Linked DNA regions of Oryzias latipes. The protein of the gene in region 1 purifies or fractionates together with the protein of each later gene. This does not show direct contact. Links are inferred from orthologs where the notes say so. Each region holds a gene or a part of one and is shown in the gene's direction. Other genes may lie near its edges.

What was found. The genes of interacting proteins can lie anywhere in the genome.
Region 2: the proteins of tubulin alpha-1A chain (region 1) and txndc9 purify together in Homo sapiens (affinity purification with mass spectrometry; 3 studies listed by BioGRID and IntAct, counting the BioPlex papers as one, with this or other methods). This does not show direct contact. The link is inferred for Oryzias latipes from reciprocal best matches to the Homo sapiens genes TUBA1A and TXNDC9.
Region 3: the proteins of tubulin alpha-1A chain (region 1) and tcp11l2 purify together in Homo sapiens (affinity purification with mass spectrometry; 3 studies listed by BioGRID and IntAct, counting the BioPlex papers as one, with this or other methods). This does not show direct contact. The link is inferred for Oryzias latipes from reciprocal best matches to the Homo sapiens genes TUBA1A and TCP11L2.

The regions. Positions count from the first base shown.
Region 1 is NC_019865.2:25,876,986-25,881,039, reverse strand, and holds tubulin alpha-1A chain, read left to right. Parts: upstream 1-1,246; 5' UTR 1,247-1,400; coding exon 1,401-1,403; intron 1,404-2,339; coding exon 2,340-2,562; intron 2,563-2,643; coding exon 2,644-2,792; intron 2,793-2,878; coding exon 2,879-3,859; 3' UTR 3,860-4,008; downstream 4,009-4,054. UniProt on the Homo sapiens protein: Tubulin is the major constituent of microtubules, a cylinder consisting of laterally associated linear protofilaments composed of alpha- and beta-tubulin heterodimers.
Region 2 is NC_019879.2:10,009,619-10,013,066, forward strand, and holds the end of txndc9 (thioredoxin domain-containing protein 9), read left to right. Parts: intron 1-806; coding exon 807-925; intron 926-1,656; coding exon 1,657-1,911; intron 1,912-1,988; coding exon 1,989-2,109; 3' UTR 2,110-2,935; downstream 2,936-3,448. Other genes in the region: mrpl30 (39S ribosomal protein L30, mitochondrial), read right to left, coding at 3,166-3,295, 3,370-3,443. UniProt on the Homo sapiens protein: Significantly diminishes the chaperonin TCP1 complex ATPase activity, thus negatively impacts protein folding, including that of actin or tubulin.
Region 3 is NC_019881.2:17,114,428-17,117,801, forward strand, and holds part of tcp11l2 (T-complex protein 11-like protein 2), read left to right. Parts: intron 1-315; coding exon 316-448; intron 449-2,167; coding exon 2,168-2,288; intron 2,289-2,412; coding exon 2,413-2,636; intron 2,637-2,773; coding exon 2,774-2,910; intron 2,911-3,031; coding exon 3,032-3,213; intron 3,214-3,351; coding exon 3,352-3,374. UniProt on the Homo sapiens protein: Promotes the migration of muscle-derived satellite cells (MDSCs) during differentiation throught interaction with FMNL2 and therefore may participate in microfilament assembly.

The DNA.
Region 1 (4,054 bases):
GCATGACGGAAAAAAATGACACGTTTTTTGCAAAAAACTGAAGCTTGTTGAGAGGAAAATGTATAAGAAAGAATGCAATGGGTGTGGCAGCGCTCTTCAAGACTATACTGAACCTGAACAGATTAAACTGTTCGGTATTTTTTTCGATAATCATCATAAACTACAATGCAAAGATGGAAATTTAATGACATGCGTGTGACATGATCTGTTTTAACAAGACTGAAAAGACTCCCAATGCTGCCTCCGAATCCATAGGCGTCTCAGGTCACATCCAAAGGTGTAACATGTCTGATGACTGATGTCACAGATGGGTTTTGTTGTTAGTAACCAAGATAAAGAACCATTTATGTGCTTTGGACTTGAGAATTGGTCAAAACTGATGGAGAGGGCAACCCATCCTCAGGAGGAGCAGGGCGTTACCCCTCCAGCAGATTTTACAATAAAGATCGCCTCAATTCACCGACAGCTACAGCTCTGCCTCTTGATTTTGTGGCTTAGCAAGGTCATGTGACTGCCGGATAAAGGCGTCTGTGTGGATGTCGGCCTGTATCCAAGCAACTCCTCCATTCATTTCCTAGTAACCGTTAAACCTTGGGAGTGGGGGGCTGGGGTGGATTGCTCTGCTGGCATTATGGCCTACATCAATCCTGTGGGACCTGCAACAGCTGAAGCTCCTAAATCTGAGGGAAACGGCCACTGTGACAGTGAAATGCCCAGGCAACATGCAAAAATGTTAGACACATTGAAGAGCCTGCAAATAAAATGAACAATGGAGAGTAGTTTTAGGAGGAAGACGTTTAGAATACAGTGTTAAATGTTGTGGTTTTACACACCAAAACGGGTTAAATAGCGTTTTCACAAACTCACAAGTGAAAGTGTAAAAATCAGATAATTGAACAGTTTATCTTTCAGTTTAGTCAAATTAAATATTTTAAAGAGATCTTCACTTCAACCAGTTTAGTGTTGCAACATCATTAATTCTTATTTTGTATGTGCCCACACCTTAAAAGTTAAAAATGTGAAAAGACATGGACATCAACTTATTAAAAATTGGGTGGACAATTACATGGCATTTTTTTTTGTCTCTGGCACAGACGCCATGATTCCAGGCGGGATGACGCGGGAGGATGTCGGGTGGGGTCCTGGGGGCGGTTCTTAAAAAGAGCTGAGCACTCAGCCAATTGGAAGCCGCAAATCTCTAAAGAACAACCAACGGACATGGAAGTGACCAATAGAATGGCAGAAACCACCGGCACGAGGACTGACATGAATATAAATAGCTGTCATCTCCTTCCGCGACGTTACTTCTTACTTCGACCACATAACAGTCGAACCGTAAGACTCCGCGGCGAGGAATTTCTCCCATCCTCTCTCATCACTTAAAAAAAAAGAAAAACAAAATGGTAAGACTTTTTTTGTCGTTATTGTTTTATAAACACTCAGTAAGATGAACACGTTAATGTCCAGTTTCCACTTGTAGAAAAGTAACGAACTAAGGAGAAAACTGTTACTTAGAGTGAAATTTGAATGTTAATGTAAGTAAACCCAAACTTTACCTAGATGACTAAACTTTTCAATGTACAGCAGATGTTGTCTGCAGAATTTGGGAGGTGTTCTGGCTCGGTTCGGGCCGATATACGTGGCGGGTAGGATGAACAAAAGAGGGTTTCAGGGCTGGACAATCCGCAGAGTCTGCGGCGAATCGCTCCCCTCCTTCTCCGAGTCATCACTTGTCTGTAGTTGACTGTTGGCAGGAATTTAAATAGAAGACGAAATACAAAAATAAAAAATGATGACACAAAAAAAGACTCCTGGAAAGGTTGTTGTACCCAAGGAAACTTTGTCTGCAGGAACACTTCATGAAACGCGCTGTCGGCAGATCATGGCGGCGTTGATTAATTATGGATGATGGAAAACGGACACTGCTGTTTTGTTTGCCCCCAAAGACCCCAGCAGGAGGAGCGCCGCCTTTTGTCCTCGGGTTGTAACCGAGGACAACAGATACTCAATTGTTTTAAGTTAAAATGTGAGAAACGAGAAGTTTGCGTCGGGGCTTGTTGCCTGGCAACGAAGTTTACTCAGGAGGTCATTGCGCCGCGCAGAAGGGCAATCGGTTAACTTCTTAAAATAATAAAGAGAACGAAAACATTAGCAAATAAATCCATAATATTCAATGGGAAAACTTTCTTATATTCTTATGAATACATTTTATATTTGAAAAAAGTTTACTTTCAAAAGTCAAACTATGAGCAAAGTTTGTAAGACTTGTAGTCCAAAGGTTTTAGTAATTTATTTACAGTTTTCTCTCTCTCTCGTTTTTTGGTTTGTTTTCCCCACAGCGTGAGTGCATCTCCATCCACGTTGGTCAGGCCGGAGTCCAGATTGGCAATGCCTGCTGGGAACTCTACTGTCTGGAACATGGGATCCAGCCGGATGGCCAGATGCCCAGTGACAAAACCATTGGAGGAGGAGACGACTCATTCAACACCTTCTTTAGTGAAACTGGAGCTGGAAAGCACGTTCCCAGAGCTGTGTTTGTAGATCTGGAGCCCACGGTTATCGGTGAGCATCTCTTCCAGATGAACATGTTCTGATGAAGGTGCTGGAGTTTGTGAAAACTAAAGGGATTTGTCGTGTTGTCAGATGAGGTGCGCACTGGGACCTACAGGCAGCTGTTCCACCCTGAGCAGCTGATCACCGGGAAGGAAGATGCTGCCAACAACTACGCCCGTGGACACTACACCATCGGTAAAGAAATCATCGACCTGGTTCTGGACAGGATCCGGAAACTGGTGGGTACAATCAGAGCATGTGTTTGTGTTTGTCTCGTAGTGGTGCAATAACAGTATCTGGCATTTGTTTTCTTGTGTGTCTTCAGGCGGATCAGTGCACTGGTCTTCAGGGCTTCCTGGTGTTCCACAGCTTTGGTGGAGGCACTGGCTCTGGTTTCACCTCTCTGCTGATGGAGCGTCTGTCTGTGGACTATGGCAAGAAGTCCAAGCTGGAGTTCTCCATCTACCCAGCTCCTCAGGTGTCCACTGCTGTGGTGGAGCCCTACAACGCCATCTTGACCACCCACACCACCCTGGAGCACTCTGACTGTGCCTTCATGGTGGACAATGAGGCCATCTACGACATCTGCCGCAGGAACCTGGACATTGAGCGTCCCACCTACACCAACCTGAATAGGCTTATTGGCCAGATCGTGTCCTCCATCACTGCCTCTCTGCGCTTTGATGGTGCCCTCAATGTTGATCTGACAGAGTTCCAGACCAACCTGGTGCCATATCCACGTATCCACTTCCCTCTGGCCACCTACGCCCCCGTCATCTCTGCAGAGAAAGCTTACCATGAGCAGCTTTCAGTGGCTGAGATCACCAATGCCTGCTTTGAGCCGGCCAATCAGATGGTAAAGTGTGACCCCCGCCACGGAAAGTACATGGCTTGCTGTCTTCTGTATCGTGGTGACGTGGTGCCCAAAGATGTGAATGCAGCCATCGCCACCATCAAAACAAAACGCTCCATCCAGTTTGTGGACTGGTGTCCCACTGGCTTCAAGGTTGGCATCAACTACCAGCCGCCCACTGTAGTTCCTGGTGGAGACCTGGCCAAGGTCCAGAGGGCGGTGTGCATGCTGAGCAACACCACTGCTATTGCAGAGGCCTGGGCTCGGCTGGACCACAAGTTTGACCTGATGTACGCCAAGCGCGCCTTTGTTCACTGGTATGTGGGTGAGGGTATGGAGGAGGGAGAGTTCTCTGAGGCCAGAGAGGACATGGCGGCTCTGGAGAAGGATTATGAGGAGGTTGGAGTCGACTCCATTGAAGGTGAAGGAGAGGAGGAAGGAGAAGAGTATTAAACAAGGAGGAGGAATCAGTTACAGAGGAAGGAAATGGCTCAAGCATTCCAAAAAGATGTTTGTTGTTCTAAAAAAGGTTAAGATGTTCAATGAAACCTCCTGAAAATGTCAAGACTGGTTTTGATATGAATAAAATCTCTCACACGATTGTTTGTCTTCATATATTTTCACTTAAAAAATTAAGTTTTGAGCTGA
Region 2 (3,448 bases), on another chromosome or scaffold:
AATAATCTTGCCCTACTCATGGCTGATTACCTGGTTCAGGTGTGTCCAGCCAATTAGAACATGCCAGAGCAGGGTATGCTGGAAAAGATGCAGGAATGCGGCCCTCAGTGCCCACCTCTGGTCTAGTGGGTCTAGATGACCCCACTCCCAATGTTAAAGTGCCTAGGATAGCACAAGGGTCAAGGTAACCATTTATTGCGATTTTTGCCGTCTTTTGCGGTATGCATATTGCACAGCTTGATGTCGCGATAACGATAAATTTGCGGTATATTGTGCAGGCCTATTACAGTTGAATCTAATAGACTTTTTTTTAAATGATTGATTGTATTAATTGATTCAATTCATAATCATGAACCAAGAAGGAAAGTTGTGCCTACATTTAAGCAGCTGTAACTGGTGCAAGTCTAGAAGAAGCAGACCTTTTAGTTTTTGTGCGTTTTGAAAATGTTTTGTTTTAGTTTAATCTCTCTTTTAGGAAACTCACATTTGTCTTATTTAATAAGAGAAAATGGCCAAACTATGACTGCAAACATCTTGTAGCCAATGCATATGGATTAAATTATCTAATTTCTGAAGTGATCAATTATTAATCTGCTCCTGTGTCATTCTCTGACTGACATCAGCTCAAATTTTAAATGCTGCTCTGCAAAAAACCCAGCAAAATAAAACTATCTAAATCTGGATAATTAGTGTAGATTTGTGATTTTTTTTTTTTTTTTTTTTTTTTCCTGAAATGGGTAATATTCATGTCTGACAGTTAGAAAAATGATAAGATTGTAAATAATTTGATGTTTTTTTCCTTTTAGGAGTGGTTGGCTAAAGGCCACGGTGAGTATAGAGAGATCGCCAGTGAGAAAGACTTCTTCGGCGAGGTGAAGGAGAGCAAGAATGTCGTCTGCCATTTCTACAAGAGTTCAACCTTCAGGTATAATTACAGCTACATAAGAAACACCCACCTGAGGAAAGATTTTAACGCTAACATTAAGTGCATTTTAAAAGAATTTCTAAGTTTTGGGGAAAAAAAGTTTAAACTTTGAAATTTGAGATGATATTAAAGACCCATGCCATCATCTTTTCGTCTTGTTTTAAAGCGTTCCCATTGGTCTTAACTATAATGATGCCGCTTTTATTCAAATGGAGCGGAGCAGGGAGTGTATTTTCTACGTCACAATTAGGCTCTTTTTCAACCATCATTTTGTCGTTTGCTCTCGATTCACAAAGATTTGATTGAGGATAATCTCAGAATATGATGTTTTGAGCTCAATTTTCTTCAAATATGTCATCCATCTTCAAAAAAATGACCCGACATGTTAAAAAGACCAAAATTACAATTTTCATCAGTTTGCCTTTAAATTCTTTGCACAGCAAAGGAATGAGACCGTTTTTATAATACAAGTAAACCAAAATCCAGAATCAGTTAGTCAAATTTCACTAAGGCATAACTTAAAGACTAAACAAATTCTGTTAATCAACTAAATTAGAACTAAATATTTGAAACATTCAATAGTAAATAAAATGACTGTAAAAGGTTACATTGTCATTGGGAAAAATGACAATACTCTAAACTTTTGTGAAAGTTTGTATTGCTTCATTCATATATATATATAAATATATATAACAAATCAAAAAACATTTGTTTCCTCCGTTAATCTGCAGATGCAAGATCCTGGACAAACATTTGGCCATACTGGCAAAGAAGCACGTTGAGACAAAGTTTTTCAAACTGAATGCAGAAAAGGCCCCTTTCCTGACAGAGAGGCTGCGCATCAAAGTCATTCCCACGCTGGCGCTGCTCATTGACGGAAAGTCTAAGGATTATGTGGTTGGATTCACTGACCTGGGAAACACGGACGAGTTTTCAACGGAAATGCTGGAATGGAGACTTGGATGCGCCGATGTTATCAACTACAGGTGAGATGGGCAGAATCTGGAATAAAAAGGGTTGTGGTGCTATAGATAGGACTAACGCTGTCATTTTATTCTTCCAGCGGTAACCTGATGGAGCCTCCAACAGCAGCACAGAAATCAGGCACGAAGTTCTCTAAAGTTGAGAAGAGAAGCATCAGAGGGCGAGCCTGCGAGTCTGATTCAGACTCTGGAGAGGACTGAAAACTCAAAAGCCGCTTTTCTTCTACCTCAGCATTAGGTCGAACGGAAAGCTCTTCCCAAGTTATTTCCTTATTAGCATTTCATTTCCTTTTGAGTGGATATATTTCGTCAGTCTTGTCCTTGAGCCACCATTGTAACACGTGTGCCAATGTTAAATGTGTTCAGGATTTTGCATCAGTATAATTTTTTGTATGAAAAGAATTTGACAAATCTTGACTTTGTTAATGTATTTCAGTAACAAATCCAGGCTTCAGGAGCTTCTGCTCTGCTCTGCTCACCTGATTCAGGTCATCAGCAGCAGATGTGATTAGGAATCAGCACCCCCAATTGTGAGAAATCCGCCTTGAATCATTTTTGATTAAATGACTAAGATGCAGAAAGAACGTCTGCAGTTTTTTTTGTTGATAAAGTTAATCTTTTCCTTAAGTTATTTCCTCTCCAATCACTAAGCAGCAGCATGACTCAGAATATAATAAGCTTTTGTAGTGTTGAGCATATATTTGCTTGATTTTGCAGTTTGATTCTCCACCCCCCTGTAAGTTCTAAATAAACATTCATGTTCCTGTCTCTTTTTAATACCTTATTGAGGAGACACATCCAGCCCACATGTTATAATAGCTTCTATTCAAGTTTATACCTCTGTTAACCTTTGATAAGACATTCAGAGAAATGTCTAAATGTGGACGTCTTAACTTATTGATGTTTCGGATTCAACGTTTTTTTCTGGTCTTTTTCTGGTCTTGGTAAAATATACCAAATCATTTTCCTAACTTTGAAAAATGTATTCATGATGTCACTCATGTCAATTAAATGTTTCAAACATCAACTAGTGCAGACTTGCTGTGGAAAATAAACATTTTTATAATTTAACAGCTTTGTGTAGATAATTGGTACTCAATTTTTAATTTTGTATCCAATTCTAAAATATACAGATATTAAGGATCATGCTGGCATTACATAGAAATTTCTCAAATCATTATTTTCACACTACAGCAAAACCAAAAACTTTATTTTTTAAGCAACTTTTGAACACTGGATCACAAAGCGACGACGAAGCTAAGACTCGCTGATTCGGGCGACCGGTTGGAGAAGGCGCCGCACTATCAGCTCGCCCTTGCTGTTGAGGAAGGCGTCGGCCATGTCCTGCTCAGCGGGCAGCCCATAGGGAGTCTGCAGAGGCTGGATCCTGAAGGAGCACAGACACCAAAATGACTTAACATTGGACAATTTTAACCGCTTGCTTTAGTGCAGGAATCTTACCTCACAAGATGCTTCACAAACTTTAGTTGGCTGTTGACTGCAGGTGTGTTTTTGTGAATTACTGGTACATGTGCCTATA
Region 3 (3,374 bases), on another chromosome or scaffold:
AACTGAAAAATGCAATAAGAACACGTTAAAAACACCAAAAACACTATTTTCATCAGATTGTGTCATTAAACCCCCAAACACACTTTCTTGTTTCATTCACTATAACTATAATAGGTTGAATAGTTATTTTCTATCAGAAAAAAAACATTTTTTTGAATTCTGATTCTTGATTATTTGATTTCTCACAAGCACAAAGACATTTTATTGCACAAATTGTTGTGCTTGTTGTTTGCTCGTATTTTGTGTGTCTTTACATCTTTCACAACCAGATGCAATCCAACTCACAGATGTTTCTTTAAACTGTCACTTTCACAGCAAGTCCACCCAAAAGCCTAACTTTGGATGAAGTCATGGATTCGGCAAGGGACATTTTTAACCTCAAAATTTCTCATGAGATTGTGATGAACCCCAGTTTTCACATGGACATGAGCAGCAGACCACAGAACAGGTATTGATGGGAACAGATTGGAAACATTGTGCCTATTTTAGGGGTTTTATGATCTTTGCCAATTTATTTCAGTCGTGGGGAAGGGTTACAGCCACTATGACAAAAATGAAGGAAAAAAGTTAAAGATGATGGTTTGTGTTACGTTTGTCAGCAAAACAAATGATAATATGGAAAAATGTTGGTAAAAGTGAGATACTTTACTCGACTTGAACATGTTACAGCTGGTTAGGTAAACTGGTAGAAGGTTAGTAACATAACTAGATTAGAAAAATAATGTTTTTGAGAGGCTGATTCAAATTTCAAGTGAGATTAATGACCTTAAAAAAAGAAGAAAAAATCCCCAAACGTAAACATGAGATTTTGAGTTGCCCCCTTCTATATTCAACAATGTCATGAAAAGAATGAAGTTTTGTTGTTGGAGGCTGTGGGGTAACGTTAGACCCCTGTAATCTTTAAGCTTTCAGATATTTTATTCTTAGGGAACAAAGAAAAATAGTTATTTTTAAATAAAATATAACTTCTTTATAGGAGGGAATTTCATTAAATCTGTTGGGATTTGTGGAATATCTTGGCACAAAACATAAATACTTGGCACATAAACTTGTTCCTACAAGTTCCTAAGAACTTGATCTCACTGTTATCTTCAAGATAAAATTTCGAAAAGGGGACGAAGAAACTAACAGAATTTAGTGCAATATCAAAGATTTTTGAAGAAAATGCTTTTTTCTTGGATGTAATTTGTTTTTTAATTATTTGTGGATTAACATTTTTTTTTCTAATTTTTCTTTGAAAATCAACAGAACCCTGTTTTTTACTTTTTCTTTTTACAGAAATGTAATACAACAGAATATCAGGCCACCATAAAAATAAATAGATAGATGGGGTCTTTAATAAACCCTGAGGACATTTTAAAATGGCCATCTGCTGACAATCATGAAACACACACACATTAAAAACAATGAAGGTCAATGTTTTAAAGAACAATAAATTTAATCATTTCAAATCAGGGGTAAATAAACAAATTAAGGAAAATAAAGTCATACAATTTTAATATAAATGAAAATAATATTAAATGAGAATAAAGTCATGAATTTACACAGCAAAAGCCTGATTACTAAGAAAAACACAAACAACAGAAAAAAAGGAACGATATTGAGTATGACAGACATAGTGCACATTGTAAGCGGTTACTTCAGCACTGGTTACGCAAATAAGGAAATATTTAGTTTTTTAGTGAATCATCATTGCTATATTATAAGTAAAAGGACATTAAAATTTATACTCCCGTCTGCAGTATAACTGCCGAGATCCAGATGCATTATGGCTCATAGATTTCTATAAATGACTGTATTGAATGATGTAGTCGTCACATATTGTGGATGGAGGCTTACACTACCTTCATAATTTTATGACTTTAGTCTAGTACATTTTGTACTTTTTTTCTTAAACTTTTAGGACTTTATCCTCATATTTAAATTTACCGGTAAATGTTTTTTTTCATGCTGGTCCTAATACTTTAATATTTTGACCTCTCCAAGTTCTTGTTTGATGTGCCTTTTATTGTTTCTCTTTGTTATTTTGACTTTGGTAGCAGACTACTAACCACTGAGGTAATATATCGCATCATGCATGTGGACGCCAGGTCTTAAGAGGTTAAGATATTTTGTTCATTATAAAACGTGTCAGCATCAACTTATGTCTTCATTTTTGAATTTCTAGGTTATTTGAGGTTGTAAGAGATAACATGCACAAGGCTTTCTGGGACATGCTGAAGGAAGAATTGAGTGATGACCCACCTAAATATCAATTTGCCATCAAATTATTAGAGGAGATCAGAGAGGTAAGTACACACCTGATGGCGTTTACTTTGGAAGATATTTCACTGATTTCTTTCATAACATTTTGATTTTCAAAGTTGTTCACTATTTAAACATTTTAGCCTGAAACTGTTTGTTACTGCACAGATTCTACTGTCATTCCTGAATCCGGGTGCAAACCGAATGCGGACCCAGATCATGGAGGTGCTAGACATGGACCTGATTCGTCAGCAGGCTGACAACAACGCTGTAGACATCCAAGGTCTGGCATCCTTCATCATCAACACTATGGGAAAGCTCTGCGCTCCAGTGAGGGAGGAGGAAATCAAGAAGCTGCGGGAGAGCACAGACAACATTGTGATTCTCTTAAAGTAATGCACAGAAAAACTTGTTTTTTTTCTTTTCTTTTCTGCAAAATGTGTCAGAAAAATATCAGAAACCATGACATGTAGCTTTGTATCTCTTTTGTCACTAAACTTTTTTTTTTTGTTTTTTTTTCACACTTTAGAGAGATTTTCCGTGTAATAGATTTGATGAGAGTGGATCACATCAACTTTTCCATTGAACTCATAAGACCTTTTCTGCAGAAGTACAGCGTTGAATACGAAAGGGAAAAATTTCAGAAAATCTTGGAAAAAACACCTAGTAAGTAAAAAAAAAAGAAAGAAATTAATCTGTTTTTTTATGTCACAGTATAGAAAATATCTACATCAGAATGAGATAAAAAAGAACTGCTGCTAAACCATTTTTTATGGAATATCCTCAGCTGCTTTAAACCACACCACTGCCTGGATCCAGGCAGCAAAGGAGGAGCTGTCATCAGCCACTGTTCCCACGGATACCAACCATGGGGTTGGAAAGACCGCTATGCTGAGTCCGTTTCAGCTCCTCAACACTGCCTTTTTACACATACTCAGATGGGACTACTCAAAGAACCCAATACCTGAGGTAATACTTTAAAACGGTGTATAATTTCACTGCATTTATGTCACATTAGAGACATTTTATTTTCTAATGTTTAATCGAATGCTTTGAACGCCCTTTAAGGTTTTTCACATGTCAAGTGAAGTTTTCCTGTTTCGTTAGACTTTGGTGACGGATGAGACGCG